Macaca fascicularis: one gene and its partners. The protein of the gene in region 5 binds, or shares a complex with, the protein of the main gene of each other region. Links are inferred from orthologs where the notes say so. Each region holds a gene or a part of one and is shown on either strand. Other genes may lie near its edges.

Region 1 (4,743 bases), on a different chromosome or scaffold from region 5:
GACTCCATCTCTATTTAAAAAAAAAAAAAAAAAAATTGGTCTTTTTTTGAGACAGAGTCTTGCTCTGTCACCCAGGCTAGAGTGCAGTGGCATGATCTCAGCTCACTTCAACCTCTGCCTCCTGGGTTCAAGTGATTCTCCTGCGTCAGCCTCCCAAGTAGCTGGGATTACAGGCATGTGCCACCATGCCCAGCTAATTTTTGCATTTTTAGTAGAGATGGGGTTTTGCCATGTTGGCCAGGCTGTTCTCAAACTACTGGCCTCATTTTCATTTTCAAAAATGAAAGCAACAGAATAACATGATCTATACAGTGGTGCACAACCCTTTGCCCAGCCCAGTGTAATAAGAATAAAACATGAAATAAATAAAACAAACAAACGAAACTGCTACTTGTCACCCTCTAGTGTTTTCTGAGACAGCACATATACCACAGTTGAATTCAGGCATATTGAATGTGTACATGATGTGACTGGTGACTACTGAAATAAGGAAGATGCTGAGCAAAGTAACAGCATTTAAAAAAAAAAAAAAAAAAAAACCCAGGAGTGTGATGGATTGAGGTAGTGAACAAATGAATAGGGTAGAAAGAAGGTAGAGAAGAGAAAGTATTTGAAGTGGCCTCAGGGTTTCAAAAATTCCAAGGATAATGGTGTTCCTGCCATCCACTTGTTGACACAGCTGGCAGTGTTCTGCACGCAAAAGTTTCTCGTTTTTACCTGGACAGCAGGTTAGTACAGAGTCACCCTCACTGTCTTAAGTGTTTACTGCTCCCATCAGCTGGTGTTTGAAGAACCCAGACGGCTCTCAAGCAGAGGATACACCCAGGACTGAGCCCCCTTCATTGATAGATACTCAGCATCTCAGTTCTGAGAATACCCACCTGTATTCTGTGACGCAACTGTTGAAATTTCTCTTTTACTTTAGTGTTCAGTTCAGTAAGAGCACTTAAGGGTCCTGAACAATCACGGATATCCTAGGAGACATTGAACAGATGAAAGGCCTTTCTTAAGGCAATGAAATGAAATGACACCATCCATACAGTGAGAGAGTTGGTTTAGACCAACTAATATTAATGTACTGATACTGACTATAATTCATCCTGATCTTTGCTGTTTACCTCTGCAACACAAGCAAAAACATTATCATTGGCATTTTTCTCATTCCTCTTTAGATTAATGTTGAATTAATATAAAAGCCTAGAAAGAAACACAACTGCTTTGACCTAATTTTTAGTGCCTAAATTTTAACAAAACATTACCTGGCCAGTATGAAAAAGCTTAAAACAGCTTATATGCCCAACAAGAATGGACATGCGAAAGTTATACTATAACTTTAGAACCTTAGATCCTTTCAACTTGTAAGATGAGGATGTTTAAAGATCTGGCCTCATATGATGAGATTAACTTTTTCAGTGTGATTTTACAAACCGTCAGTGATAAGTTAGAGTGTTTATATAAACATGTTTAAGGGCAGATTTAGAATCTGTTGCTGGACATTCAGAATTACTGGTGCCAGTTTTCAGAGCAGGCTCTGGAGACAGACCATGTGGATTCGAATCCTGGCTGTGGCAACTTATTAGCTGTGTAAAGTTACCTGGAAAGTTATTTAAATTATCTGTGTCTCAGTTTCCTCATCACAACCCTACTTACCTCAGAGAACATCATAGATTATGTGTGTATGTAAAGCACTTAGCAGAGCTGCTGGAACACAGTAAGGGTGCACTACATCCAGCTATAATCAATCTTTCTCATCAGCAATCACAAGAACCCAAATGTTAGAAAGAGTACAGAAGGGTGCCTAAGCAATTTAGATTATGTGAAAATGTGATTTCATTTGTATGAAACCTAAGTTTATTTTTCTATAACTGGCCCAGAAGTTTTGTAATGTATACATCAGAGAAGTGAAGTTCGAGAAGTTTTAAATATCTGCATCAAATTTCACTTTTTCTCTGGTTATTAATTTAATCACACTTCTTTGCACCATATTTGTTTATTCTGCATCTAATTTGGTTTATTCTGCATCTGGTTTATCTGGGGAGCCCTACTTTCCTGCACTTTTTGCCACCCCTCGTTACAAACTCTGAGTCTACATCTAATGTTTAGTGACTTTGTTGAAAATGATTTGCTTTAAAAACCAAGGTTTAGGCCGGGCGCAGTGGTTCACACCTGTAATCCCAGCACTTTGGGAGGCCGAGGCGGGCAAATCACGAAGTCAGGAGATCAAGACCATCCTGGCTAACACGGCGAAACCCCGTCTCTACTAAACAAAATACAAAAATGAGCTGGGCGTGGTGGCGGGCCCCTGTAGTCCCAGCTACTCGGGAGGCTGAGGCAGGAGAATGCCATGAAGCCGGGAGGCAGAGCTTGCAGTGAGTAGATCGCGCCACTGCGCTCCAGCCTGAGCGACAGAGCGAGACTCCGTCTCAAAAACAAACAAAAACAAAAAACAAAACAAAACAAAACAAAAAAACAAGGTTTAAAACTCTTGGTTTCTTTTTGCTAAACTCATGGAACCGTGTCTACATTCCTAATTCTTGTCTACGTCAACTCGTTTATTTTACCTCTACCCTTAAATGGCTTAAGGCGAAAACACCTCATTTCCTCTCTGTTCAAACGGGGTAACACTCTAAGGTGTTATTCCTAGGTTGACTTTCCCAGTCCAGGTCCCAGTTTTGCCATTGACCCAGGCCTGCCTTCTAACCTAGGCCTTGGCGCCGTACTCGATTTCCTCAAGCATAAAATCACAACTACGGTCCAGGTTACATTCGTTTCACCTGGTGCCTCCCGAGCCAGGTGCCCTTGGATGCCAGGGGAGCTGGCCAGCAGGGAGCGGGGCTAGCTGCCTACCGGGCGCTACCAGAGAATGGGGAAGCAGCGTCAGAGGGCGGGGCCAAGCAGGGTGGCAGGTAGGTTGTGAGGAGGTCAGGGGCGGGGCGACGACCAGGACTGCAAGTGGAAGTGGCAAAGCCGAGCCTCGAAGCAGTAGCTGGGTCAGGGGCGGAGAACAGTTGGGTGCTCTGGAGATGGGCGATCCGGCGGCACCCGGAAAAAGGATCAAGGCCAGCAGTCACGGGGATACAACCAAATGGGGACCAGGGCGGGTAGCCGGTCATGGGGCGGAGCCGGTGGCCTGGGAAACCAAGTGGGGAAAGTTCGGGAGTGACACTACCGAGCTCACAGACCAGCAGAGCTTGGGTTAGGGCTGCTGGAGCCTGGCAGGGGTCCCGGGATCAGTACCTGAATAAGCGCCTTCACCTCCAGGTCAAATTTGACAATCTCTTGGTTACAGATCCGGACGTGGACATCTTGGGGAGCCGCCATGTTGGGGACGCCGGTTACGGGCGGCGGCAGGGCCCAAGTTCAAACGCGTTTTCGCACCGCCTTCTCGCCCTCCCCGCCCAGTCTCGGGGCAGCGCCCCCTAGAGACCGGCGAAAATGGCAAGCTTGGGTCCCTGCCGCAGAGTTGGGACTTTCCCTGACACGTGTAGGGAAATCAGCCTCTCCTCTTGGTATGGCCTTAATACCATGGAGAGGAAGAGAAGAGGGAATATCAATAATGCTTCACAGTGGTCTCTTTCCATCTTCCTTCTGTCAGGCATTCTAATAACTATATATTTTTTGCATAGAAAAAAAGACTGGAAGAAAAGTATCAATTGAGATGTCTCTGGAAAGTACAAGTGACACTTTTTTGTTTCTTCAAACTTTCTTATATTTTTAATATTTTCTACAGTGAGTATAAATTGTGGAGTAAAAGAGAAAATGATAAATGTTATGTATTTTTTAAAGTATGGAGTTCAGTAGAGTCAGTAGAGTACTTCCTATCACTCCAACACATGATCTGAGGGATCTTTGTAAAACACGAAATTGATCAAGTCGCCTCCCTGTATGCAGCCCTTCTATGGCTTCTGGTGGTTCCCTTTTGTATACAACTGGATTTATTAAATCTACCTTGCTGGGGTAGTTTTGATGGATTTACGTAGTTTTGATGGATTTACGTAGTTTTGATGGAAATGTCAGAGGAAACCCTCAACAAATGGTGGCTCTTTTATTTTTGTTAGTAAATAATCCAAGTTTCTTAGCTGGTCCTCAAGGTCATCAGCCACCCCACCCTGCACCCTTCCTGGATTGCTCAAGCTCTTTCTGGATGTGTAGCCTTAGAATGTGGTGTTCCCTCTCCCTGGAAAGCTTTTCCCCGACTCGACCCCACTCCATCTGCTTTTGTTCAGGTCACTTCAGCAAGAATAGATTGTGAGGACCTAAATGCTTAGGACCTGAATGTTCATCTCTCTTAATCCTCACAACCACCCTTGAAATTGCACTACACTAGTATCACACTTCAGGAGATGAGCTGAAAGTAGATTAAAATAACCACCAATCAACCCTGTCGCAAGATTACCTATCTTGAAAGTGGCACAGCCTCTACTGAAAGCCATCTTTTCCCCAAAAAATCAATATGGCTCCCACCTGTTGTAAGCAGGGCTCTGTGCTTGTCTGTGTTCCTACAGGCCTCTACACACCCTCTCGTAAGGTATTCATCACCCCACTGCACCTAATAGAGAGGCAGTGTATCCCAGGCTTGGCATCTGCCTGGGCTCAAATCCTGTCCACAGCACTGCATGCCTGTGCTTCAGTCTCCTCAGAGGCTAACTGGTGATAATCAATAGCACCTACTTCACAGATTGGATAATTAAATGAGATAATACATGAAAAGCACCAAGCACAGTGTGCTAATGTGGCATATGG
Region 2 (4,908 bases), on a different chromosome or scaffold from region 5:
CAGGGTTTTGTTGCAGATTAAATGTTGAAATGGAAACTGATTGGAACAGGAAACAATGAATGGTTGGTTATTGGCCAGCCAGTTATCACGGATGCTTCCCCCCTTCTCTAGGGCGTCTACTGGGCTGTCTGAAGGGGCTGGCAGGCAGTGTCCGTGGGTTGCAGTGCCACCCTTCAAAGCCTCTACTAGCTTCCTGTGGCTTGGACAGAGTCTTGAGGATACACAGGATCCAGAATCCACGGGGTCTGGAGCATAAGGTAAGTCGTCTCTCCCACCCCAAACTCATGGTCTTATGGAGGCTCCGCCTCCTTTGTCCCCTTTCATGTTTCTGTCTCAGCATGCCTAGCTCCTTAAGGTCCTTCATCTTTTGCAGGTTTATCTCAAGTCTCAATTGAACTGCCTCCTCCTGTCAGGCAGGGACAACTGGGAGGTGAGCAGTTGGGTCTGGGAATGTGGGAGCTAAGGGCATAGATGTGAGGATCTCCCTATGAAGAGGAAAAGGAGGCAGCTGGAATGCAGACCTGGGACTATCTGTTTACCTGCCTGGTCACTTAATTTCTCTGAGAGGCATTAACAGTTAAAATCCTGAGGGTTATTGCCAAGAGCATGGATGGGGTTGCTTTCTGGGAGCAGGGAATAAAGGTGGTGATACCCAGAGGGATTATTTCTCAGCCAGGGTCTCCTTCCCTGTGGGTTTGTCCCTGTGCCCCTGACTACTTTTTCTTTTTTTTTTAACTTCTTTTTGTGGAGATGGGGTCTCCTATGTTGCCCAGTCTGGTCGCTAAGTCCTGGGCTCAAGCAATCCTCCTGCCTTGGTCTCCCAAAGTGCTGAGATTACAGGTGGGAGCTACCATGCCCAGTCCCCCTGACTCCTACACTTTCTTCCCACTCACCAGGATGAGCCCCAAGAGCCTCAAGAACCCAACAAGGTGCCCCTAGAAGACACAGAGACAGACGAACTTTGGGCATCCTTGGAGGCAGCTGCCAAGCGGAAGCTCTCGGATTTGGAGCAGACCCAAGGAGCTCTCCAAACCAGACGGAGAAAGAAGAAGCGGCCTGGGTCCACCAGCCCCTGACGCCCCTGTGCCTGCCCACTTTGTAAATAAACAGCTGAACATCCACCATGACCCTGAGCCTTTTGTGATGGGAGAAAGGAATGAGGGGTAGCTTGGGGTGGGGGCTCCCTGAGCTGGGGCGACGGGATATCTGATGTCACAAAAGCCGGGCCTGGAGGCAGGTAGGCTGGCGTGGGTGGCAGGGAGTCCGGGGCCCCGAGGGGCCATGGGCTGCTGCCAAGACAAGGACTTTGAGATGTCGGATGAGCAGTCCAAGGAGGCAGAGTCTGAGGCCGTCAGGGAAGATGGGACCAGAGGCACACACAGAGGGCCCAGGGAGTGTGAGAAGGGGCTTCCCGAGGGTAGGGGTGAGCTCAGAGGCCTCGTCGCCTCAGGCGCCGAAGGTATCGACTTGAACTCCCCGGACCATCGGAATCATAAGTCGAACGAAAGCCTTCTGATCACCGTGCTGTGGCGGCGACTATCCATGTTCAGTCGTCGGGGCTCCTCGCGGTCAAGCAAGAGACAATCAGACCAGATTAGGTCATCAATGTTCAGTGGTCGGGACTCCTTGCCGTCAAGCAAGAGGCAATCAGATCAGACTCGGAAACAGGAGCGTCCGATCCGAGAAGGCAACCAGGAGGAGCCGGAGAAGGGATGACCCCAGACCTGCTCTTAGTCAGCCCCAACCTCCAGAGAATAAAATTTCTAACGTGTACCTGCACCACCACTCTGGGAAACGGGCGCGGACACCGCCGGGCAGCTGGTTCTTTAAGGCTCCTCCCCGGAGGCGGGCCCAGCCCCCTGGGCTCCCGCTGTAGTACTCAGGGGCGGGGTCACGGCAGCGCCTTAGCCAATGGGAGGGGGGGTCGCTCTTGCGTTTGGATGTGGGGCGTGTCTTTCGGGTCGCCTGGCTTGAAAATGCGTGGGACCGCCCCCTCGTCACCGGGGGTGGGGTTACGTGTAGGTGACGTGGCCGCTTCCAGTCTGGTCGGGTTTCGGCGGCCTCAGTGCCCAGGGAGGAGGCAGTGACGGCCGGGGAGATTGGTAGTGGCGGCGGCGACAGGCAGCAGAGGGGAGGTAAGACTTGCTCTAAGAGGGGGTCTGGCCACCGTGTCAGCTCTGGGGCAGTGGTTTTACAGGGGCGACGACTGGCAGGGGGAAGGGAACCAGGGGCAAGCAGGCAAGTCCTGCCGGCCCGGCTCCTGGTGAGCGAATTCCTTGCCGTCCAATCAGGAAAGCCTCTGTTGAGAGAGACGTCGGCATTAGCTAATGAGTGGTTGAAGTCTTCCAGAAGGCGGACCTTGGGCGGGGGTGGGACTTCCTGTTTCAAATAAACACCCAGAGGTGTCCCCCTCCGCCCACCGAAGTGTGTCAGTCTTTGGAGGTCCGTCACCGGCCCCCCCCCGAGGGGCCGAAGGAAACCACGGAAACGAAGGGACTGGGTTAGGGCCCGGGGCAGTTACACGGGCCAGGCCGCAGTCTGAGGGCCACGGGACTTGGCTCTGGCCCTGTCTCTGCTTCAGGGCCCCCGGCCCGCGCTCTGGCCGCCGGAGCCAAGTTGGAAGAAGAGTCTGAAGCGGGTTCGACTTGGGACAGGGGAAAAGCAGAGCCCTTTCCGCTGCTGGCCCGCCCCAGGATCTGCGAGCGTCTTGGGCGCGAAAGTCCATGAGAAGTGCGGAAGGGGCTCGAGGATTTGTTGATTGGGGTGGGGCGGGGGAGTTTGGGGAAAGAAGCTGCCTGGGGAATGACACTCTCCCCTCCACAACAGTCCGAGGTTATGCGTCTCAATGATCCCGCGGAAACGCTACGGGTCTAAGAACACGGATCAGGGTGTCTACCTGGGTCTCTCAAAGACACAGGTCCTGTCCCCTGCACCTGCTGGCAGTAGCAGCAGCGACATCGCCCCTCTGCCCCCCCCAGTGGCCCTCGTCCCTCCCCCTCCCGACACCATGTCCTGCCGGGATCGGACCCAGGAGTTTCTGTCTGCCTGCAAGTCGCTGCAGACCCGTCAGGTAAGGACCTGGAGTGGAAAATGCGAGGAGTGAGCCATACTCAAATCTAGGAAGGACTGTGCTCCACCACTGTTAACTGAAGTAATTCTTGGGGGTACCTGATGGAACTGATAGGCTTGGATGGGGCCAGTAGGGTCTGCTGTAAGCAACAGAGAAGAGGTCGGCTGGCTAACTAGAGGCAAGGACTTAGACCTTTTTTTAGGAGGAATCCCTTGGAGGGCAGAAGTGCTATTCTGGAGGGAGTACTTCAGAGAGTACTTGGCTGTAATATAATTGGTGTGAATAAGGAACAAGTTCTAGGAAGAGCCTTTAGCTGAGAAACACGCACCTTGAATTTTCCAATATATTTCTACCATAAATTTGCTCTGTAACCATGAGAAAATTAATCTAGTTACATCTTAGTTTTTATCTCTGTAACATTAAGGACATTTTCTAGATCAGTAATTTGTTGTTTTTGTTTTGTTTTGAGATCTGTTTTCAACTCTGTCAACAGGCTGGAGTGTAGTGGCGTGATGATAGCTCACTGCAGTCTTGAACTCTTAGACTCAAGGGATCCTCTTTCCACAGCCACCTGAGCAGCTGGGACTACATGGATGCACCACCCAGCTAATTTTAAAATTTTTTTTGTACAGGCAGTGTCTCACTATGTTGCCCAGGTTGGTCTGGACACAAACACCTGGCCCTAGACCAGTAATTTGTATCAAAATAACTTAGGGTTGGATGTGGTGGCTCGTACCTGTAATTCCAGCACTTTGGGAGGCCTAGGCCACAGGATCGCTTGAGGCCAGGAGTTAGAGACCAGCAGGGGCAATGAAGAAAGACCCTGTCTCTACAAGAAAAGAAAAAAAAAGCTGGACGTGGTAGCATGTGCCTGTAGTCCCACCTACTTAGAAGGCTGAGCGAGGCCCAGTCTCTTTCTCTTTTTTTTTTTTTTTATTTTAAGAAGGAATTTCACTCTTGTCGCCTAGACTGGAGTGCAGTGGTGCAATCTCAGCTCACTGCAACCTTCTCTTCCCGGGTTCAAGCGATTCTTCTGCCTCAGCTTCTGGAGTAGCTGGGATTACAGGTGCCCGTCACCGTGCCCGGCTAATTTTTGTATTTTTTTTTTAGTAGAGACGGGGTTTCACCATGTTGGTGGGGCCGATCTTGAACTCTTGACCTCAGGTGATCTGCCTTCCTTAGCCTCCCAAAGTGCTGGGATTACAGGCATAAGCCACTGCGCCCAGCCTCTCTCTCCTTTTTTGGAAACAGGGTCTCACTCTGTCACCAAAGCTGGAGTGCAGTGGTTCTATCTCGGCTCACTGCAACATCTGCCCTCCTGGGCTCAAGCAGCCCTCCTGCCTCCAGCTTCTCAGTAGCTGGGATTATAGGCATGTGCTACCATGTCTGCCTAATTTTTGTTTTGTTAGTAGAGACGGGGTTTTACCATGTTGCCCAGACTTGTCTCGAACTTCTGTGCTCAAGTGATCCACCTTCTTCATCTTCTCAAAGTGCTGGGATTACAGGTGTCAGCCACTGCACTCAGCTCCTCTTAAAAAAAAAATTGGGAGTGCTTTCTAATTATTTATTTATTTAATTAATTATTTTTTTTTTTTTTTTTGAGACGGAGTCTCGCTCTGTCGCCCAAGCTGGAGTGCAGTGGCCGGATCTCAGCTCACTGCAAGCTCCGCCGCCCGAGTTTACACCATTCTCCTGCCTCAGCCTCCCGAGTAGCTGGGACTACAGGCGCCTGCCACCTCGCTCGGCTAGTTTTTTTGTATTTTTTAGTAGAGACGGGGTTTCACCGTGTTAGCCAGGATGGTCTTGATCTCCTGACCTCGTGATCCGCCCGTCTCGGC
Region 3 (4,840 bases), on a different chromosome or scaffold from region 5:
GCCCCAGGCTATTAATCTTTTTTTTGCACCTGCCCCTTATTTCTGTACTGTGACAAGTCCCAGCATTGTGTTGTGGGACTTACACAGTATACTGACAGTTACCTCAGACTTGGTCACGTCTGTGCTCAGTGCATATTAAGAGCTCAACCAAAGCGTGCTGAATCAACAGCCAATGAACTTGATCTAATAAAAATGAGGGCCCAGGAGATATAAATTAGCAAAGCATTTTCTCCTGAGCATTCATACATCTTTTAATATTTGTAGGCAGTTTAAAATTGAGCTCCCAAGCAAACATTTGAGAACAGACACCTTGAGCAAACCGTGAAATCGGTGAAAATAAGAATTTATTTTAATTTTTTTGAGATAGGATCTTGCTTTGTCACCCAGGCTGGAGTGCAGTGGCATGATCTCAGCTCACTGCAACCACTACCTCCCGGGTTCAGGTGATTCTCCTGCCTTAGCCTCCCGAGTAGCTGGGATTTACAGGCGCCCACCACCACGCTCGGCTAATTTTTGTGATTTTAGCAGAGATGGGGGTTTCACCGTGTTGGCTAGGCTGGTCTCGAACTCCTGACTTAAAGTAATCCGCCCGCGTCGGCCTCCCAAAGTGCTGGGATAATGCTTGAGCCACCATGCCCAACCTGAAGACCGGCATTTATACCCATGGAGTGCAGGAAAGGACCTTGTAATTGTTAACAAGTGACACTTAGTGGCAGATGAGACCTAATGAAGCCAGGCCCACCTTCCACACCAGATTATAAATTCCCCCGGAGCAGAGAGTAAATGTTTTATTCACCAACATGCCCAGATCCCTCGCAATGCCTACGCTTGACAAACACCTGTTGTGAACAAGTGCACGAGGCAGCCTAGCAGCTAGAGTATTTCGAGGTCATCCTAACTGGGTTCCACTTTTGAATTTTTGTTTTTTGGGTTCGTTTGGAGACAAGGTCACCCTCCACTTGGGAGCAAAGTCTCCCAAGCTGGAGTGCAGTGGTGGGAACTCTGCAATCTCAACCTTGTGGACTCAAGTAATCCTCCTGCTTCAGCCTCCGGGGTAGCTGGGGCCAAAAGTGCGCGCCACCTTGCCCGGCTCCTATTTTGGGTTTCCGGTAGTGCTCTCGCTATTGTGACCAGGCTGGTCTCGAACTACTGGGTTCAAGCAATCCTCCCACCTCGGCCTCCCAAAGTACTGGGATTACAGACGTGAGCCACTCGCCCGGCCGAGTTCCACTTCTGAAAGCTTGGGGAGCCGCTGGGCCTTCCAGGAAAAGTGCTCCACCTCCCGACTGCAGGCAGAGCCCCCGGCCCGGCTCTTTCCAGGGCCTAAAGCTAACATTCGGTCAAAACGCGAAATGCGGAATTCGGGTCAGGGTGGCAAAGCAAAGCGCGATGACAGTGAGGACGACGTCTAGACGCAAACACACATCAAATCGGGCCGAAGCCCGCTGTCGCCTCGCGGGCTAAACCTGGCACCCCGGGCAACGCGCGACTCCGGCACCAGACGCTCTCCGAGTCAAACTACATCCCCCGGCGTGCACTGCAGCGCCCGCCCCTGGCCGGCCGGCGGGGCCCAGGAGGAAGGCGGCCGAGCTGCCCGTCCCGCAGGTCCCCTAGGGCCCTTTCTCTGCGGCCTTTCCCCACCCCGGACCGGGCACTTCTCGGGCTCTGCGACTACCATTCGCCCCGCTCGCTCCCTCAGGAGTCGCCTAGGCCGCGCAGTCTGCTGCCTTCCCGTCAGGCCTTCGCGCCGGCGCTCCCGCAATCACGGGCTAGAGAGGGTGGGCGTTCCGGCTCGGGAGGACCCTTCTGCGGCCCCGGAAGAGCCTCGTCCTGGGCAGCGGTGGTGCGGCGGTCGCCGTTATGGCCACGGGACTGGGCGGCTGACCGCCGGGCTAGGAGAGGGCCCAGAGCCCCGAATCTGGGTGGCCGCTGCTCGAGCGCGTCCTGCGCCATGGCCGCCTCCGCCGCCTCCTCGGAGCATTTCGAGAAGCTGCACGAGATCTTCCGCGGCCTCCATGAAGACCTACAAGGGGTGCCCGAGCGGCTGCTGGGGACTGCTGGGACCGGTGAGGCGCGGGTGGGCCACGCCGTGGGGAGCGCGGCCCCGCGCGCTTTGGAATTTTCCCCCACCTTCCTCCCAGACCCGGGCCCGCGTCTCCTTCCTCCGCGTCCTCAGACACGCCCCCTAGGGCTGGCTGGGTCGCAACCCCGGGTCTCCCTGCCACTGAGAGTGAATTGGGGACGCGCCCAGGGACGCGGGGTTCAGTTCCCTGGGTTCCTTCTATGGCCTTCCACATTTTCTCGTTTTTTTCCACTGCGGCAAACAGAGCAGAGGGGCTTTTACATCTGCGGTCCTGTAATGTAGCGTGGGTTTCTTTCGTAGCTGTTTTTGTTTGTTTTATGCATTTAGAAGCACTAGTCTCAAGACAGGTCTAGTTTTCACCAGACTGACAGAGGATCTGTAGCACAGAAAAAGGGTTAAAAACCCAAAAGAGTCATAATTTGGGGCGTTGGTATATACCTGTTATTGGAGGGTAGAGAGCTGGCCTTTAAAACCTTATGGTGGCGTTTAGATGTGGTCTTGTTTTGAACGTTTTTACTGCTGCGACTATTTACTACCCCTTCATTTCATGGTTCAGGTTGCTACAAGTTTTGTCTGGAGGAGCTAGAGTTTTCCGGCCCTAGATCCATAGGAAGACCTGCTATATATAGTTCTTGGCCTCCGGATATGTAGAACTTGATGGCAAGGACAAAACTTTGTTTTATTGCTTTTATTTAAGGATCAGAGCTTGAGTGTTTGCTCAACGAATTACTCAAGGTCATAGGAATTGAATGACTCTGGTGAGAATGAAATGCATGTATTTAATATATATTTATTGTGAGGCTGCTGTGTGCCAGGCACTGTTCTAGGTGCTGGTGAATATTGCAAATTACAGTGAAAAAGACATGCACGTCCCCATTCTAGTGGGTAGGTGATAAACAATATATAACTATTAAGCGGCAGTGTTAAAGAATACAGGAAAATAAGAGTAAAGGAATAGGGGATGGGACTTCAGTTTTATTTTATTATTATTATTATTATTTTTGAGACAGAGTCTTACTCTGTCATCCAGTCTGGAGTGCAGTGGTACGATCTCGGCTCACTGCAGCCTCCACTTCCCAGATTGAAGCAATTCTCCTGCCTCAGCCTCTGGAGTAACTGGGATTACAGTTGCGCCACCACCCCTGGCTAATTTTTTTTGTATTTTTAGTAGAGACGGGGTTTCACCATGTTGGCCAGGTTGGTCTCTAACTCCTGACCTCAAGCGATCCGCTTTCCTCGGGACTTCAGTTTTAAATAGGGCGGTTGTGAAAGTCCTCTGTGAGGAGATGGCATTTGAACTGAGACTTGAATGAAGAGAGGGAGTAAACCAGAAATCTGGGAGAAGTGAGTGTCAGAAGGAGGGAATAGCACTGCAAATGCCCTTAAGCGGAAATGAGCTTGGTGTGTTCAACGAAGAGCAGGAAGTTCCATGTGTTTGGGATGAAGTGAGCAAAGGAGAGAGGTAGGCAGGGCCAGATCATGTAGGGCCTTGTGGACCATGGTGAAAGACTTGTGCCTTTTTCTAAATATGATGGGATGCAGTTAAAATATATTGTGCAGAACCATTGTGGGATCTGATTTATGTGATTGAAAAGTTGACTGCAGGCAGGGCACGGTGACTCACACCTGTAATTCCAGTGCTTGGGGAAGCAGAGGCGGGCAGATCACTTGAGGTCAGGAGTTCAAGACCAGCCTGGCCAACATAGTGAAACCCTATCTCTACTAAAAATACAAAAATTAGCCAGGCATGGTGTCAGTTGCCTGTAGTCCCAGCTACTCAGGAAGCTGAGGCAGGAGAATTGCTTGAACCCAGGAGGCAGAGGTTGCAGTGAGCCGAGATCCTGCCGCTGCACTCTAGTCTGGGCAACAGAGCAAGACTCTGTCTCAGAAAAAAAAAAAAAAGGAAAAGACTGCAGGCTAGGCGTGGTGGCTCACACCTGTAATCCCAGCACTTGGGGAAGCTGAGTTAGGATTATTGCTGTATTGAATGATTTTGAGACCAGCCTGGGCAACGTGGTGAAACGCCATCTCTACAAAAAATACAAAAATTAGCCAGGCATTGTGGTGCGTTCCTGTAGTCCCAGCTCCTGGGGAGGCTGAAGTGGGAGGATCACTTGCGCCCTGGAGCTGGAGGTTGCAGTGAGCCAAGATCGCACCACTGCACTCTAACCTGGATGACAGAGCAAGACTCTGTCTAAAAAAAAAAAAAAAGTAGACTGCATTTTCAACCTGGCACTGAGTTAATTTTTGCATTGCCCATTTCTATAAGGCTAAATAATGCAAAAGAACATTGCTTGAAAAATAGAAAATTGAATTCATTATTACTATGGTTTGAATGTCCCCTCTAAAACTTATGTTGAAATTTATTTGCCATTTTAATCGTGTTAAGAGGTGGGACCCATAAGAAATGATTAGACGATGAGGGCTCCATCCTCAGGGATTGGATTGTTATCCTGAGAGTGGGTTGGTTGCTGAGAGAGTGGGTTAGTTCAGCCCTCTCCTGCTTGCCTGCTCTCTTGATCTGTTGCTCTTCCACCTTCTGCCATAGGGTGACACATGGGTAGCAAGAAGGCCCTTGAAAGAATCAGGCCCCTCAGCCTTGGGCTTCCCAGCCTCCGGAACTCTGAGAAATACATTTCTTTTCTTTATAAATTACCCAGACTCAGCTATTCTGTTATAGCAACATAAAGCTAAGATAGTTACATTCACGTTTGTTGTCTCCCCAGCCTTTTTCTCCATCCTGCAAAGAGGACAGTC
Region 4 (4,961 bases), on a different chromosome or scaffold from region 5:
TGAATTCAAGTCCACAGAGGGGCAGTATCCGCGCCCGCTGACGGGGGGCGGCCTATTGGCCTCTAACTCAGGCAGCAGCCACTGCTCAGAAGGGGTGGCAGGGTCTACACTCGCCCCCATCCCTACACACCTGCCACCCAACGGGTGCACCCCAGACACTCTCCCCCCAACACTGCATCCCTGACGTGCCACCCCCACGCCGCCGCGTCCCCTCTGCTTGCTGACACAACCCCTGCCTCACCCACACCGTCCCGACCACCCGCGCACGACCCTGCCCCACCCCCTCCGTGCCCGCCCCCCGGCCTCAGGCGGCCGCTCACCTCCTGGTTGTACGACCGCAGAGCTTCCATAATCACATCCTCCTTCCCCGTCTCCACGGCTTCTGCAACCGCCCGGGGCTCCATGGCGCCCCCGGAACCCGGCGCGGGGAAGGCGGGACGGGCCCTTCCTCAACCTTTCCGGGCCGCAGTTCGCCGGCCCCGCCCTGGCCCAGAAAGCCCCGCGCCAGCGCGCGGGGGAGGCCGGGACGGGACGCGGCGTCTGGTGGCGCTTCAAGGGGGCGCGGCCTGAGGCAGCACTGGCGGCTCGGAAGACCCGAGTCGGGCCAAGTCGCCCTGAACCGGACTGATCCCCCTCCTTGTGACCGGGGCTTCTTGGGCCGGAATTTCCAACAGGAAAGGATCTCAGCCCCCACCGCGCCCTGCCACACACACAGTGACGCCCCTCGAGCTCCACAGAACCGATGGGATGTAGACGGGAAAGCCGAAGTGGAAAGGACTTTTCAGTCCCGGGCCATTGGGTTCGTTAGGCGTTTGCTGGGGAATGCAAGCGAACGGGACTCCCAGGCCCCTGCCTTTGTGGAGCTTATGTTCCAGAGGGGAAGGCAGACAAGGAAAAACAAAAGGACATGAGGCGGTCACAGGGCTGTGCTTCAAAAGAAGCAAAAGGTGACTGCTGGGCTGCAAGGGCTGTGAGGCAGTGGTGTTTTTGCTAACACTGGACGATGGGAAGCGAGCCGGGAAAAGACTGGAGGAGCCACTCCAGGCAGAAGGAGCAGCACTTGCAAAGGTGGAAGGGCCGTGAGGGGCCGAGAGAAAGGGGAGCAACGCAGTCTGGCCTGGACTCAGTTCCCTCTTGACAAGCAAAGATCCTGCGTGTCCGTTTCAGTGGCCATCAGGAGGATTCAGTGACGCACAGGAAGCGCGGTCCACTGGCTCTTGTAACAAGTGCCCGGGAGCAAAGGCGTCTACGGCCCCCACTCCCCGTGCCGCCTCCCAGTCTCTTTCCCTGCTTCACTTTCCTGTAGCGCTTTCCGCACACCTGTATTCGACGCGGCGCGCACTCGCAGGCACTAGCGAGGCGCCGATCTCCACTTGACAGAGGAGGCACCCTTGCCCCCTCCACACCCAGGGCTCCTCGCGGGCTTCTGCCCGAGGGGCCTACTCCTCCCTCATGACCCGCCTGTGAATCCTTCCTAACCGTTAGGACCTAACGCATGGCAGCGTCTTTCCACCACCATCGTCTTGGCACTGAGCAAGCAAACGGCCCCGCCCCGCCCCACGTTCACAGGAACAACAAACAAACGTCACATCCGCGGTGCTGCTGTAATCCCAGCACCTTGGGAGCCCGGCAGGCGGGGGCTGCAGTGAGCTGAGATCGCGCCACTGCCTGGGCGACAGTGCTGAAAATAAGTCACAGCGACGCCCATCGCTTCCGCGACCCCGCGGTTCCCCACCCTCGGGCCTAAGCCGGAAATCAGCGAGCCCGACGCCATCTAGGGGCGTGGTTGGCGCGGAGGCGGGGCCATCGCTGGCGGGGGGCGGGGCCGGAAGCCCGTTCCCCGTGACTGCGCCACGTCTGAGGCGGCTGTGGCCGCGTCGGTGTTGGCGTCGAGGAGCCGGGGCAGGGCACGATGGCGGACTGGGCTCGGGGTGAGCGCGGGAGAGCGGAGCCGTTGGGGGCAGGGCCGGGCCGGAACCGACGCCGCTGCCTGTAGAGCCGCGTGCGCCTGCCTCTGGCCTCGGCGGGGAGGACCCTGTCAGGGGGGCGGATTCGGATCCTTCCGGGTCCCAGCAGGGCCGGGTTTCGGCCAGCACTGCCGCTAGGAAGGACGGCGGGCGGGGCGGCCCAGCAGCTCCAGCGAGGGCTCGCGCAGCTGCGGGGTCCCCCCACTCCCCGCCGCTCCCTGTGAGATCGTTTTGCATGGGTTCAGGGTGAGCGGGAGTCTCGGCATTCGACAGGTCCCGAGGCCAGGCCTTCGGAGTAGGCTGTGCTCCGCTGGTGTCCAGGCAGGCCTCTGCTAACTAACTTGGGCCTCGGTGGCCCCATTTCCCCTCCTGGAGCCCGTGTTCTTCTCTGCAAAGTGGGATATTGATGCCTGTCTGAGTTATGATGAGTAAAGGAATTAATGAACAGGAAGTGGTTGGAAGGACGCTGGCATCCCTTCCTTAACGTTGAAGCTAGGGAGAAGGTGGTTCTCACCCACCTGAGGTGACAGAAATTCCTTATCACCTGGCCCAGCCTGTCACAGGCCGGGCCTCTGCAAGCGCTGTGCCCTGGGTGTTGCAGGAAGCCCTGTGTGGGATGCAGACCAGGGATCACGCTCCTGGTCGACCTCAGCTCCCATCTCGCGGAATTGGGAACTTTGCTCAGCTGTTTTCTGTGCGGTAAAGGGCCTTCCCAATGTTCTGTCCTGGTTCCTTGCCACCTCTTCAGGACCCAGCTCAAAGGTCGTCCCTGCAGGAGCCTTTCTGCTGCCCTGCTGGGTACTTTTCCCAAGTCTTTCCTATGCTCTTAGCAGAGTTTACTCTTTTTCTATAAGAATGGGCTCCACATACACAGATGGCGACCTCCCTGGATGCAAGTGTCACATCTTATTAACATCCCAGAGCTGGGCCCAGTTTTTGCTACACAGTCTCAGAAGGTGCTGGTTGGACTGAACCCACTGTGGGTGCTGGCCCATCCCCACCTGGATGTGTACACAGGACACGTGTTCACATGACAGGCCCTTGCACACATCGTCCTTTATGCAGTCTCTCTCACATGTGCAAGATTCACCTGCTGGAACCTAGGTTAGGGCCCCTAGATTTCTGACTCACCCAGTTGTGGTTGGAGTGAGAGGGGTCAGAGGCCTCGCTCCCCGATGGATGCAATCACTCAGCCCCTCTCTTTTCTCAGCTCAGAGCCCGGGCGCTGTGGAAGAGATTCTAGACCGGGAGAACAAGCGAATGGCCGACAGCCTGGCCTCCAAAGTCACCAGGCTCAAATCGGTCAGTGGTGGTCTGTCCTCTTACCTCCACCTGGTGCCCTTGGGGAATGGGGATCAGAGGGAAGGTAGAGGGCCCAGAGGAGTTTCAGGCAGTTTGCCGTCCTCCTCGTTCGATTCGTGGCTGTGCTCACCTGCATGAGGCCCCAGCTGACACCTGGACCTTCCTGCTGCTGCCCCACTGTGTCTGGCAGAGTTGTTGGCAGGGTTTGTCTGGTCTGGGAAGGGTGAGTGCTGTATTATGTGTCTGCTCTGGCCCAACCCTGCCCTCTCTGTGTGCTGAACAGCTCGCCCTGGACATCGATAGGGATGCAGAGGATCAGAACCGGTACCTGGATGGCATGGTAAGGGCCCACGGTGTGCGCGAATCAGTGCCCTGCCCCCAGCACTACCTGCTACAGAGCTTGCAGTGTCTCCTTCAGCACTGGTGCGGGTGGGTGGTCAAATCACCACTTCTGTGTGATCTTGCCGGGATTCTTCCCTTAGGACTCGGATTTCACAAGCATGACCGGCCTGCTTACAGGGAGTGTGAAGCGCTTTTCCGCAATGGCAAGGTCCGGACGAGACAACCGGAAGCTTCTATGTGGCATGGCTGTGGGTCTGATTGTGGCCTTCTTCATCCTCTCCTACTTCTTGTCGAGGGCAAGGACGTGAGACAGTGGGAGCTGGTGTCTGTGGGTGCCAAGGGCAGCCATTGTCTTCCCTGCCTGGCATCTTGGGCTCCAGAGGACTTACCTGCAAAGTACTCCTTTGAAATTATAATCGTGGGCCAGGAATCCTTTCTGTGTGGCAGGAGGCTGCGGCTGCCTGTGACCTGATGAGCTCATGTTGGCTGGTCCCATGTGTGGAAGGGACTCTTTCGGGGAAACCAAGGCCCAGCCCCTCCCCCCTTCCCCAGATGCTAGAGACACAAGCAGAGCTGGGGCCGCAGCGTGTCTGGAGGAGCCAGGTCTGAGCAGAGCAACTGTTGAATCCCAGGCGTGGCCACCTGTGGCCTGCAGCCTTTCTCCCAGCTCTTGGGACGCTGACATCTGAAGGCTCCACGGTCGTGTCCTTGTCTGGATGAGGCCATGTCTGTGATCCAAGGTTCCTGGAACTGACACAGGAAGGGGCTGTGAACCCTAAGTGGGTGCTATCTCCTCCAACTGAGGCTTCTCAGCCTGGAGATGGCAGTTACTCCTGGCCATGGTTGCTGAGCACAGGAGACCAGTGCGGGCCACCCTGCTGTGAGTTCTCTGTGCCTACTCTCCAGTCCTGCGGATGAAGTGAGACCCCTGGGGAGAACGGGTTGTGGATGAAGGAGTGGACTGCAGCCTTGGCCTAGCCACTGGGTGGGATCCTTCTGGGTCCTGTGACTGTGTATCCAGGAGCAGAAACTTGTATTCTCAGGATTCAGAATCTACCCAGCACCAGAGATGTGTTTTCAGAAGAACAGACCTAGAAATGGGCCTCTCTGGCATTTCAGAGTCAGGCAAAGCAGGCAGGGCCGGGGAGCCATTGTGGGTCTACACAAGAAGGTTCCTGAGAGGCTATCAGTTGTTGCCATCTAGCTTGCTGGTAACTCTGGCGCCTCTGCCAAGCCCTGCCAGACTCCTCTGGCTGTGATGGCGTTCTGTGCCATCCTCCTTGTCCCCAGCCTCTGCAGGATACCCTCCCTACCCACCTCTCCCTGGGCCTTCCCTGTCCACTGGGCTGG
Region 5 (4,947 bases):
TACTCTGTCGCCTAGGCTGGAGTGCAATGGCGTGATCTCAGCTCACTGCAACCTCCGCCTCCCGGGTTCAAGCAATCCTCCTGTCTGAGCCTCCCAAGTAGCTGAGATTACAGGCACCTGCCATCATGCCTGGCTAATTTTTGTATGTTTGTAGAGATGGGGTTTCGCCATGTTGGCCAGGCTGGTCTCCAACTCCTGGCCTCAGGTGATCTGCCTGCCTCTGCCTCCCAAAGTGCTGGGACTGCAGGCATAGGCCACCGCACCCTGCTAGAGCTGGGTTTTAACAGGAAGAGAAGAGCCAAAAATCCTCACATAGAATCAGACAGCACTTGACAGTTTCCAACCTCATCATCACTGAAGTTTAGAGCAGCCCATACCCATAAAGATGATCTCCCCATCCCCCCAAGTTACCCACTGTGCAGAGGGAGATCGACACTTAAGAGACAGGAAGCAACTTCCAGAAGTCCATAGCAACCCAGTCCCAGGAATCTAGGTTTCCTGACCAGGGCATAGCAGAAAGGGTCCATTCCTTTCCTTGCTTGTACCTTCACAGAAGCTTCCTGGACAGAGCCCTGGGGTCCAGGAGACCCGTTATTCATTCCCAGCTATGCTGAGACTTACTAAATGACCTTGGGGACTCCTTCTAGAGAATTTAAGTTCCACGAGTGCAGGAATTTTTATCTATTAGTCCTTGATGTATCTCCAGCCCTAGAACAGTGTTTGGCCCATAGTATGTGCCCAAAAATATCCATTAAATGAATGTTCTGTGCATGGTGGTGCATGCCTGTAATCCCAGCAGTTTGGGAGGCTGAGGCAGGAGGATTGCTTGAGCCCAGGAGTTAGAGACCAGCTTGGACAACATAGTGAGACCCCATCTTGTAAAAATTTTTAAAAATAAAAAATGAGTGAATATCTCGATAGCCAGGATTAGAGAAGTGTCACAGTCAGAAAGACTGAAGCCTAAAGAAGGCCAAGGAACCAGGGTCTTCATCCTCAGATACATGAAAGGCTAAGATTCTGTCCACAAGTATTTATAGAGGGCCCGTAATGTGCTTGGTACTGAGCTAGGAACTCCCCAGATTCAGTTAAGAACAAAGTCATTACCTGCCTCAGATGCAAGGCAGGGTCTGGGGGGTGTGAGTGGCAGGGAAGGCAGCGTGCAGAGACACTTTTCTTAGCCTGAGCTGCCCTGACATGGTCTGACAGCCCACAAGGTGGTGAGTGCAGCCGGGCTGTAGTGTTCAAGGAGGGCGCCGGCTGGCTGCCCACCTGTCAGAGGCTGCGCCAGGAGGATGCGGAAGAAGAGGTTTCTGCCTTGGCTGAGGTCACTTTCCACCCCTAGATTCCCTGCCCACACAACCCTGCAATTTTCTGACGCTGACGACTCGGATCCTATTATTTCCCGATTTTCAAGGTCCCATGATGCTGACAGCCCCAAATGCTAAGTCGTCAGTCCGCCCACGCCCCTGGACCCGAAAGCAATAAAGGCGAAGTCAGCAAGGGTCCTACCACCCACTGCCTCGAAAGGCCTCTGGGAGTGGTGGGCGCGCCCCTCCCCACCTCGCGGGGGCCGTGTGGGCGTCGTTCGGTGGTCGGAGTGCCGGGGACGTCGTGATGAAAACAGCGTCCCAGAGACGGCGCTGACCGAGCCGGGACACGTGACAGTCACAGCGTCACATTCTGCGGTCCACGAGTTTGGGACCGGGTTGCTCACGTGACGCGGTGGGGGCACCATGGGGTGATATGAGATGCGGGTGCCTCAGATTACGTACAAATGACGTATTCCTACCCCTTTTGGCAACCAGATTTCCGTTGGAAGATGCAACGGTTCCGGTGACGGTAGCCAGTTCTCGCGTCCACGCAGCTCCGCTTCCGCTCGGGGCGCAATAACTTCCGACTCCACCTTCCGCGCCTCGGGCGAGGAAGAGACGCGACCATATGCGCATGCCCCGAATTTATCACGGAGGGGCGGGGCTGAGGCTGCGGGAGCTGGAGGGGGGAAGAAAAGGGAATTCCAACCTGTGGAACCTTGGGGGGTCCCCGGGGTCGGCGCCTTCCCATTGACTGTGGGCGGTGCAAGGGACGGAGGCTCTGGTGGCTCGTGGGGGTGTTGGGGTCCACAGGGGGAGGGAGGGGAGTGTCAGAGTGTGAGTGGGGTACGGGTATTCCAAGTTTGCCGGCCTCCCGGTCTGACGCCGGGGAGGGAGAGCTCAGGCCGCCATGCGGGACAGGACCCACGAGCTGAGGCAGGTGAGACGCCAGGGCAGCGGGGATGGGGGCGCGCGGACGAACTGGAACGCAGGACTCCTGGTCTTCGGGGTAGGGAGGGGTGGCTGATGGCCAGGAAGGAAAGTCCCGGAAGCCTGTGGGTCCTGCGGGGTGACAGCCGCAGCGAAACAGTGGTGCCAATGACTCCGGGCCTGGCAGGGGGATGACAGCTCGGACGAAGAGGACAAGGAGCGAGTCGCGCTGGTGGTGCACCCGGGCACGGCACGGCTGGGGAGCCCGGACGAGGAGTTCTTCCAGAAGGTAAGGGGATGGAGTCTTGGCCTGGATTCGCGAGGGGGTAGGAGGACCCGAGGAGCAGCGTGGTCTGGAGTACCCCATATCTCTTTCAGCCCTCTCGGTCACCCTCCCCAGGTCCGGACAATTCGGCAGACTATTGTCAAGCTGGGGAATAAAGTCCAGGAGTTGGAGAAACAGCAGGTCACCATCCTGGCCACGCCCCTTCCTGAGGAGAGTGAGTGAAACCCCGGCTGCATAGCGCATGCTCCGCCCCAGGGATTGTGGGGGTTGTAGTTCCACGCAGGTGGTGGCCAGGGTGGTTTGTTGAGGTGGGGGCTGCTGTTTGGGAGTCGTGGCCTTCTCTTATTCAGGCATGAAGCAGGAGCTGCAGAACCTGCGCGACGAGATCAAACAGCTGGGGAGGGAGATCCGCCTGCAGCTGAAGGGTGAGCTACTGGGACCTCAGGCAGATCCTTCCCTCTGATCCTGCCCTGTTGTTGGTATATCTGGGGAGTGTGTGGCCCAGAGAAGCCAGTGATATATCCAGGTCACACAGCAGGCCTGGTTCTAGCATCTCTGTCTTCTGGCCTCCAGGCCATTGTACTCTCCACAGCACAAGGCAGTCTCTCAGGTTCTTTTATTTACAATGAAACCATTTACTTACACAGTTATCACTGCCCACTGGGGCATTCTTTGGGCAGGGAGATGGGGTTTTGTTAGGTGGCCTCTGCATTCGTACGGGAACTCAAGTGATGTAATGCAAAGAAAAATAAACTTACTTTCTCCTCTTGGAGGCTCAGCCTTAGTCATTTTATGATAAATTATATTTCCCTAAAAATCCTATGGAGACAAGTACCCCCAATACCCCTGTGTCTTCCCACAGCCATAGAGCCCCAGAAGGAGGAAGCTGATGAGAACTATAACTCCATCAACACAAGAATGAGAAAAACCCAGGTGGGTTTTTTTTCTCAGAAATGACATTTCAGCAAATGTTTCATGAAGTAGTAGATGACAGATGTATGAAGGAAGGGCCTGTAGAGGTCATGGAGTCCAATTGGATGATTTTTCCAAGTGGGGAACCTGAGCTCAGAGAGAGAAAGAACTTGCTCAAGGTCAGGAAACCAGGTCTCCTGATGCTCAGTCCGGTTATAACACCCTGCTTTATTTTCTTCCATTCAATAAGAAGTTACTTATTGACCCCAGACAAGACCTAGGCTTGACTGTGGGACACGTTTTCTTTTCTTTTTGCCTCAGCCTCCTGAATAGCTGGGATTACAGGCGGACACCACCATGCCGAGTTAATTTTTGTATTTTTAGTAGAGACGGGGTTTCCCCATGTTGGCCAGGCTGGTCTCGAACTCCTGACCTCAGGTGACCCTCCTGCCTTGGCCTCCCAAAGTGCTGGAATTACAGGCGTGAGCCACTGCGCCCAGCTGGGACACGTGTTTTCTAGGAGTCAACATGAGGAGTTAGGGTTCAATAGGGGATAAAGACATTACTCACGTGGGATCTGGTGGCTAATGGCGCTGCCCAGGGAAGGAGAGTGAGAAGTCACAAATTGACTGGCAGGTTTGCTATCTGTGTGACAGGGACATCCTTAGTCCCACAGGTGGAATTCAAGAAGTCAGGAAGTGGAACTTCCCTGGGGCGACACTGAAGAGGAACTCCCCTGGTGTAATATCTTTTTTTAAAAAATTATTATTATTTTTTTGAGATGGAGTCTCTCTCTGTCGCCCAGGCTGGAGTACAGTGGCACAGTCTTGGCTGACTGCAACCTCCACCTCCTTCAAGCGATAATCCTCCCTCAGCCTCACAAGTAGCTGGGATTACAGGCGTACACCACCACACCTGGCTAGTTTTTTATATTTTTGGTAGAAATGAGGTTTCACCATGTTGGCCAGGCTGGTCTTGAACTCCTGACCTCAAGTCCTCAAGTGATCCACCTGCTTTGGCCTCCCAAAGTGCTATGATTACAGGCATGAGCCACCGTGCACGGCCCCTGGGGTGATATCTTAGTAAGGAGATTTGCAGTGATCTGACTGGCCCTCTTTGTGTCCCCAGTGAGGAGGATACCAAGAGGTCAGGGTTGGAGTAGTTGAGCCCAGGGCTCAGCAAGGACCCCAGATTGAAGATGAAACAGCTTGGGCATCTTGGAAGGGTGCAGCTGGAACCAGGAGAGCAGATGTATCTCTGGAAAAGGAACTCCAAGGAATGAGCATATTTAAGGTCTCAGGAGAAGGGGCAAGGCAGAGCAGATGCCCCAGAGCCAGTGTTTCTGGGGAAGCCTGTGGTGGTGATTGGCATGAGTGGTCGAGGGCCCATGTGGGCCTGTTGCACCTGTTTCGCCCAGGCAGCATGTTCATCTCTAGGCATAGGAACTGTGGTGTAGGCAGCAAGGTTGGCATTCAGCAAGCATTCAGCAGTTACATATTGGGTGCCTAC
Region 6 (4,715 bases), on a different chromosome or scaffold from region 5:
TAATTTAATGGGAAGACATGCATTTGAGTACATATAAATTTAGCAAAATTGAACATAAAAGTTAAATGTTTAAAAGAATGATGCAGAAGAAATCAGTCTATTGGTGGGAGGTAGGGAAGGAAGATTTAGTTTCAATGCAATTTTATGAAACTTAATATAACCTTTACAACAATTCAGTGAGATGGAAATCTGGCATCAGGCATGTATTAGAGGAATGGAATGGAAGAACAGAAATTGAACCGGATTAAAACGCATCCTAGAAGTAACAGCAAATGCTTCAAGGAAGGCACTTACCAAAAGGCATACTATAACTTATTACATTTCATTAAGTCTGACAACCAGGGCTAAACCTGAATTAGAATATGTGCTTCTGGTATTGACCAGACTTTTCTGTATAAGGAATCCAGGCCAAACAAAATAACAGGCAAACTTTTGACACATCTAATCATAGTGAAAGCACAGGACATCCATCACTAGCTCTTCTAGTTAAAATTCCCACAAGAGAAGATGGGGAGTGGGGAATGGTTGGAAGAACAGGAGATAATACGCAAAGCAATGACAACACAAAATCAAAATTGCTTAAAAGAATGTATGTTTCCTCTACGTCAGGGGGACAGCGTCCCTGAACAACACAGCCCATGTACTCACTTAAGGTAATGTGACACCTACTCACATCAATACATAGCAGAATTGGAAGTTTCACTGTCACGCGGTCCAAACCTATGACATATGCACAAAGTTCTTCTCAAACATCTCTGAAAAGCAGTCATCACTCTGTTTAATTACTTCCAGTGACAGGGAACTCAGCACCCTACAGGACTGTTACTGTCCCTGAGGCCCATTAACTCAAAAGTCTAAAACACATTTTCACCACTCAGGGAGCGGTGGAAGTGATCACAGGGCTATCCAAAGGGCTTGCCAACTCAACTGTGCCTCTTGTCTCGACCATTCCCAAATCCCCCCTTTCCCTGAGCAGGACTCAAAATTAGCACAGTGTTCATAAATCAGTGGTTTCAGAGTCAGAAGGGACCCTTACAACGCCAATACTGTGATATTCATACCACGGTTCTACAAAAGGAACCCCAGGAAGTGCTTAGGCCAAACTGGGAGGGAGAGTATCCTGTTTCTCTTCCTCTCATTTCAGCCTAGGAAGCTTCCACTTTAATTTGTTATATATAGAGGACCAAGGTAGTTTTTTAAAAGGAGGAGGAGAAAAAAAAGGACCATTTACAGGTAAATAAACTGAGGTCTTGACACTTGCTTAATGAAATCATATAGCTAACAGTTGCAGGGTTCAGACAACAACCTGGTCTCCTGGCTCCTTCTCTGGTACTTTCTCTACCATATAACATCTGACGGCCTAGAGGGCAAAATTCAAACTCCGCAGTGATATACAAAGCCCTTTAAGATCTCTCCCGGTCCAATTTTTATGAGAGTCCCACATACCAGTCTCACTCAAATGTTTATTGAACCAACTTATATCAGACTCTTACACACCTCCACATCTTAGCGCATACTATTCTTTTAGCCTGAGATGCCCTTCTGCACTGGAGCCAACTAATCCTCTTTCAAGATTTGTTTTGGGCATCATCACCTCTATAAAGCCTTTTCTGATCCTCAGGTAGAACTGACCACATTCTTCTTTGTGCCCTACATAACACTTGCAAGGCTTTATGGCACTTGTTTTATGTCTATGTCCGTCTACTCCACTACTCCTTTTACATCATATTACTCTAACATGAGGCTGGTCAGAAAGTAGGTGCTTCATAGATGTTCATCAATAGGGAGAGTGTATTCATCTGGTCCAACCCCTTTCTGATGTTTAAGTATCCTCTGCTAACTGTCATTAATGCATGCATGCATACATTCATTCGAAAATATCTGAGTGTCTATGCAGTGCCAAGTGTATGCCAAGCAGAGTAGGATCTACTGTGAAATTAATGAGGTTTTAGCTTCGGGGTCCCTCACTTCCATCTTCCAAAGCTCTGAATCTCTCTTGGTGATTTTTATTTCTTAAAGACGGCAGACATAACTATAAAAACTTTCGGCCCCACAAAACCTAGATCCCTCCTTGGTGTCACGGACACAAAAGGGAACAAGACAAACATCTCTCCCCTCATGGAATTTTCTGTTTAACGGGAAAGACAGCCATTTTGTTCATTCATTCATTCAACAAACATTTACTAAGCAATGCTATGAGTCATGCATTGTGAGATGAAAACAACTGTCCCTGCCCTTAAGGAAAAGGTTCCTGTTCCCAGAGAGATGAAGGGACACCTGCTCTGATCAGGGAACAGAAAGTAGTTGAGATGACTGTAACACCGTGTTTGCGAAAGATGACCCTAAACTCGTCTCAAGAGGAACTGAGCCCTACTTATCGCGGAGACAAAGGGAAGAAAGAGTTCGGTTGAATATGGTTTTTAATCTCAACTGGGGATGGGAGGCAGACAAGTAAAGAGCACAGGCAAATACGGTGTGGTCAGTTCTGCAACAGGAAGTGAAGGACAGTGAGGTTTCCCGTGAGTGCAAGTCTGTAGTGACGGCGAACTCATGACCTCACAAAGCCGCCCGTGCACTTTCCAGATAGAGATTTCTGAGGGTCTCCTTCCTCGTCCCCCAACCCCCGCCGCCGCAGGAGAAATCTGTTCCCCAATATGCGTCCCCCTTCCTTAAAATAAGGCTGTTCCTTCCCCAAAAAGCTGTCCGGTCTCTGAGGCCAACTCTCCTGTCCCCCTTGGGGCCACCTCCTTCACACAATGCTTACGGGACGGGGTGTGGTTTGGGGCTCGGGGTCCCTGTCGCAGGACTGCCCCCTCCTCAACCCGCCGTTTCCATAGCAACCAGCTCACCACTTCGCGGGCCCGGCTGGAGAAGTCGCCCTTGGGCCGGGGGCTCCGGCGGAACAGCTCATCCCGGCTGCCATCGACCCCGCCGCCCACCGCCACTCCCAGCGCCTTGTTCCGCGTCTTCACGGTCTTGACGCTGGCCCGGAATAGCAGCGTGATGTCCACGGCCATAGCGACCCGTACCCGCAGACCCACACTGGGCCCGCTCACGTAAGCAGCCGGCGACCGCGGCGAGAACCCGGCCGCTGGAGGACTGGTCCTGCCCCGCACTCCTCCCCACCGGCAACTGCGATGCGAGAAGAAAGGTTCCGGCCTGAGCCCCGCTACCGCGGCGGGAGGAAAAAGGTTCCGAACTCAGCGGCGCACCTGGCGGAGGAGGAACCCCGCGACGAGCTCACGGGCACCTCTTTCTCCCGGCAAAGCTTGGAGGGTTTAGCAGTGCGGAGAGCTCAGCGAGCTTTCCTGTGCTTTTTTGGGGCGTGTGGGCTCCGGGAGCGTGAGGACCGGGAAGCTGGGAGGCTCCTTCCCTTCTGGTGGCTCCCTCACTGAGAGCGGGCGGTTTGGTTGCGGGGGACGTGGAGGCGAGCCACCCTTGACCTTTGACTGCAAGGACTCACCTTGAGCAGGACAGAGGCGCTTGGACGGTGACCCTCGGGGTGCAATAAGTGCTGAGACAGAGCAGATGTGCAAGGCATAGAGCTAGAGGCCAGAGGTCTTTCTTCTCCACCCTTCAGTCACCTCTGTAAAGTGAAGCCAGCATCCTCCCCGGAGTTTACTGTGAAAATTAAGTGAGCTGACGCGTGCTGTGTTTTGATGTTGCTTGGCTCCTAGTAAGTGGCCAATAAATGGTAGTAATCGTTAATAATGTTATTATTATAATCACTCGTATTTGTGGTGATGGAAGAGGCTGTAGAGAAAAGGCGTCACCTGTGCAGAGATTTGAAGGATGAATAGGAACTTTAGATGGAGGCAAAGGTGAAAGAGTGGCCCTAATGTCGCTGGATTCTGTTCTTGCTTCATGCATAGTTTTTAATTGTACCGTCTTGAGCCATAGCTATTAAAATTGACAAGTCAGTCAATGAGTTTCTTCTGCATTTTTGGTTCATGGTTCTGTTTTGTGTTGTTTTTTGAGATGGGGGTCTGCTATGTTGCCCAGGCTGGATTGCAGTGGCTATTCAGAGGCGCCATCCTAGCTCATTACAGACTGGAACGCCAGGGCACAAACGATCCTCCCCGGCTCCGCCTCCTGAGTAGCTGGAACTGTAGGCACTTGCCACCATGGCTGGCCTAAGGATATTCAAAATCTCATTGATTTCTTCAAGATTTTTTTTTTTCCATAAAGAGGATGCACAAGTAGAATGTGTATTAAAATAGTGGTTTTAATGGTCAATATAAAAATATTTTCATAATACTAAGATGTTATTTGCCTTTTCACTCTCACTTTCTCATGAGTTGCATACAGTTGAGTTTGCTAGACTGTGATATTGCAACGGAATAAATGCAGAACAGCTGTTTTCTATTAAGCCAGACTTCAAAAAAAAGATTTTCAAAAACATCAAAAGTTTTTAATTTCTCATATAGTGAATGTCGATAATGTCAATATAAACAAAAATTGTTTAGAGCCCTTAATAATTTTTAAGTGTGCAAAAGAGTTGAGACCAAAAGTTTGAGAACCACTGTGTTAAAGAAATAAAGTTTATGAGAAATAGATGTCAAGAAAGTGTATATTTACCAGAAAGGAGGAAGGAAAAGTTTTTTTTTTTTTTTTAGACGGAGTCTTACTCTGTCCCCCAGGCTGGGGTGCAGTGGCACGATCTCGGCTCACTGCAAGCTCCGCCTCCCGGGTTCACCATTCTTCTGCCTCAGCCT

What was found.
Region 1: STX4 (region 5) and BNIP1 share a complex: the UniProt entries of both Homo sapiens proteins name them as parts of the SNARE complex. The link is inferred for Macaca fascicularis from reciprocal best matches to the Homo sapiens genes STX4 and BNIP1.
Region 2: STX4 (region 5) and STX5 share a complex: the UniProt entries of both Homo sapiens proteins name them as parts of the SNARE complex. The link is inferred for Macaca fascicularis from reciprocal best matches to the Homo sapiens genes STX4 and STX5.
Region 3: STX4 (region 5) and VTI1B share a complex: the UniProt entries of both Homo sapiens proteins name them as parts of the SNARE complex. The link is inferred for Macaca fascicularis from reciprocal best matches to the Homo sapiens genes STX4 and VTI1B.
Region 4: STX4 (region 5) and BET1L share a complex: the UniProt entries of both Homo sapiens proteins name them as parts of the SNARE complex. The link is inferred for Macaca fascicularis from reciprocal best matches to the Homo sapiens genes STX4 and BET1L.
Region 6: STX4 (region 5) and STX18 share a complex: the UniProt entries of both Homo sapiens proteins name them as parts of the SNARE complex. The link is inferred for Macaca fascicularis from reciprocal best matches to the Homo sapiens genes STX4 and STX18.

The regions. Positions count from the first base shown.
Region 1 is NC_088380.1:179,966,483-179,971,225, reverse strand, and holds the start of BNIP1 (vesicle transport protein SEC20), read right to left. Parts: upstream 3,334-4,743; 5' UTR 3,322-3,333; coding exon 3,238-3,321; intron 975-3,237; coding exon 882-974; intron 1-881. UniProt on the Homo sapiens protein: As part of a SNARE complex may be involved in endoplasmic reticulum membranes fusion and be required for the maintenance of endoplasmic reticulum organization. Also plays a role in apoptosis.
Region 2 is NC_088388.1:11,216,009-11,220,916, forward strand, and holds the start of STX5 (syntaxin-5), read left to right. Parts: upstream 1-1,999; 5' UTR 2,000-2,135; intron 2,136-2,581; 5' UTR 2,582-2,730; intron 2,731-2,826; 5' UTR 2,827-2,845; coding exon 2,846-3,070; intron 3,071-4,908. Other genes in the region: WDR74 (WD repeat-containing protein 74), read left to right, coding at 112-257, 374-430, 897-1,076; TEX54 (testis-expressed protein 54), read left to right, coding at 1,210-1,716. UniProt on the Homo sapiens protein: Mediates endoplasmic reticulum to Golgi transport.
Region 3 is NC_088381.1:135,576,648-135,581,487, reverse strand, and holds the start of VTI1B (vesicle transport through interaction with t-SNAREs homolog 1B), read left to right. Parts: upstream 1-1,797; 5' UTR 1,798-1,951; coding exon 1,952-2,066; intron 2,067-4,840. UniProt on the Homo sapiens protein: V-SNARE that mediates vesicle transport pathways through interactions with t-SNAREs on the target membrane. These interactions are proposed to mediate aspects of the specificity of vesicle trafficking and to promote fusion of the lipid bilayers.
Region 4 is NC_088388.1:85,506-90,466, reverse strand, and holds the start of BET1L (BET1-like protein), read left to right. Parts: upstream 1-1,835; 5' UTR 1,836-1,912; coding exon 1,913-1,931; intron 1,932-3,177; coding exon 3,178-3,269; intron 3,270-3,552; coding exon 3,553-3,609; intron 3,610-3,751; coding exon 3,752-3,919; 3' UTR 3,920-4,961. Other genes in the region: RIC8A (chaperone Ric-8A), read right to left, coding at 321-404. UniProt on the Homo sapiens protein: Vesicle SNARE required for targeting and fusion of retrograde transport vesicles with the Golgi complex. Required for the integrity of the Golgi complex.
Region 5 is NC_088394.1:29,213,633-29,218,579, forward strand, and holds the start of STX4 (syntaxin-4), read left to right. Parts: upstream 1-1,962; 5' UTR 1,963-2,220; coding exon 2,221-2,250; intron 2,251-2,427; coding exon 2,428-2,529; intron 2,530-2,618; coding exon of another isoform or gene 2,619-2,640; coding exon 2,641-2,740; intron 2,741-2,876; coding exon 2,877-2,951; intron 2,952-3,388; coding exon 3,389-3,459; intron 3,460-4,947. UniProt on the Homo sapiens protein: Plasma membrane t-SNARE that mediates docking of transport vesicles. Necessary for the translocation of SLC2A4 from intracellular vesicles to the plasma membrane.
Region 6 is NC_088379.1:8,513,519-8,518,233, reverse strand, and holds the start of STX18 (syntaxin-18), read right to left. Parts: upstream 3,102-4,715; 5' UTR 3,018-3,101; coding exon 2,850-3,017; intron 1-2,849. UniProt on the Homo sapiens protein: Syntaxin that may be involved in targeting and fusion of Golgi-derived retrograde transport vesicles with the ER.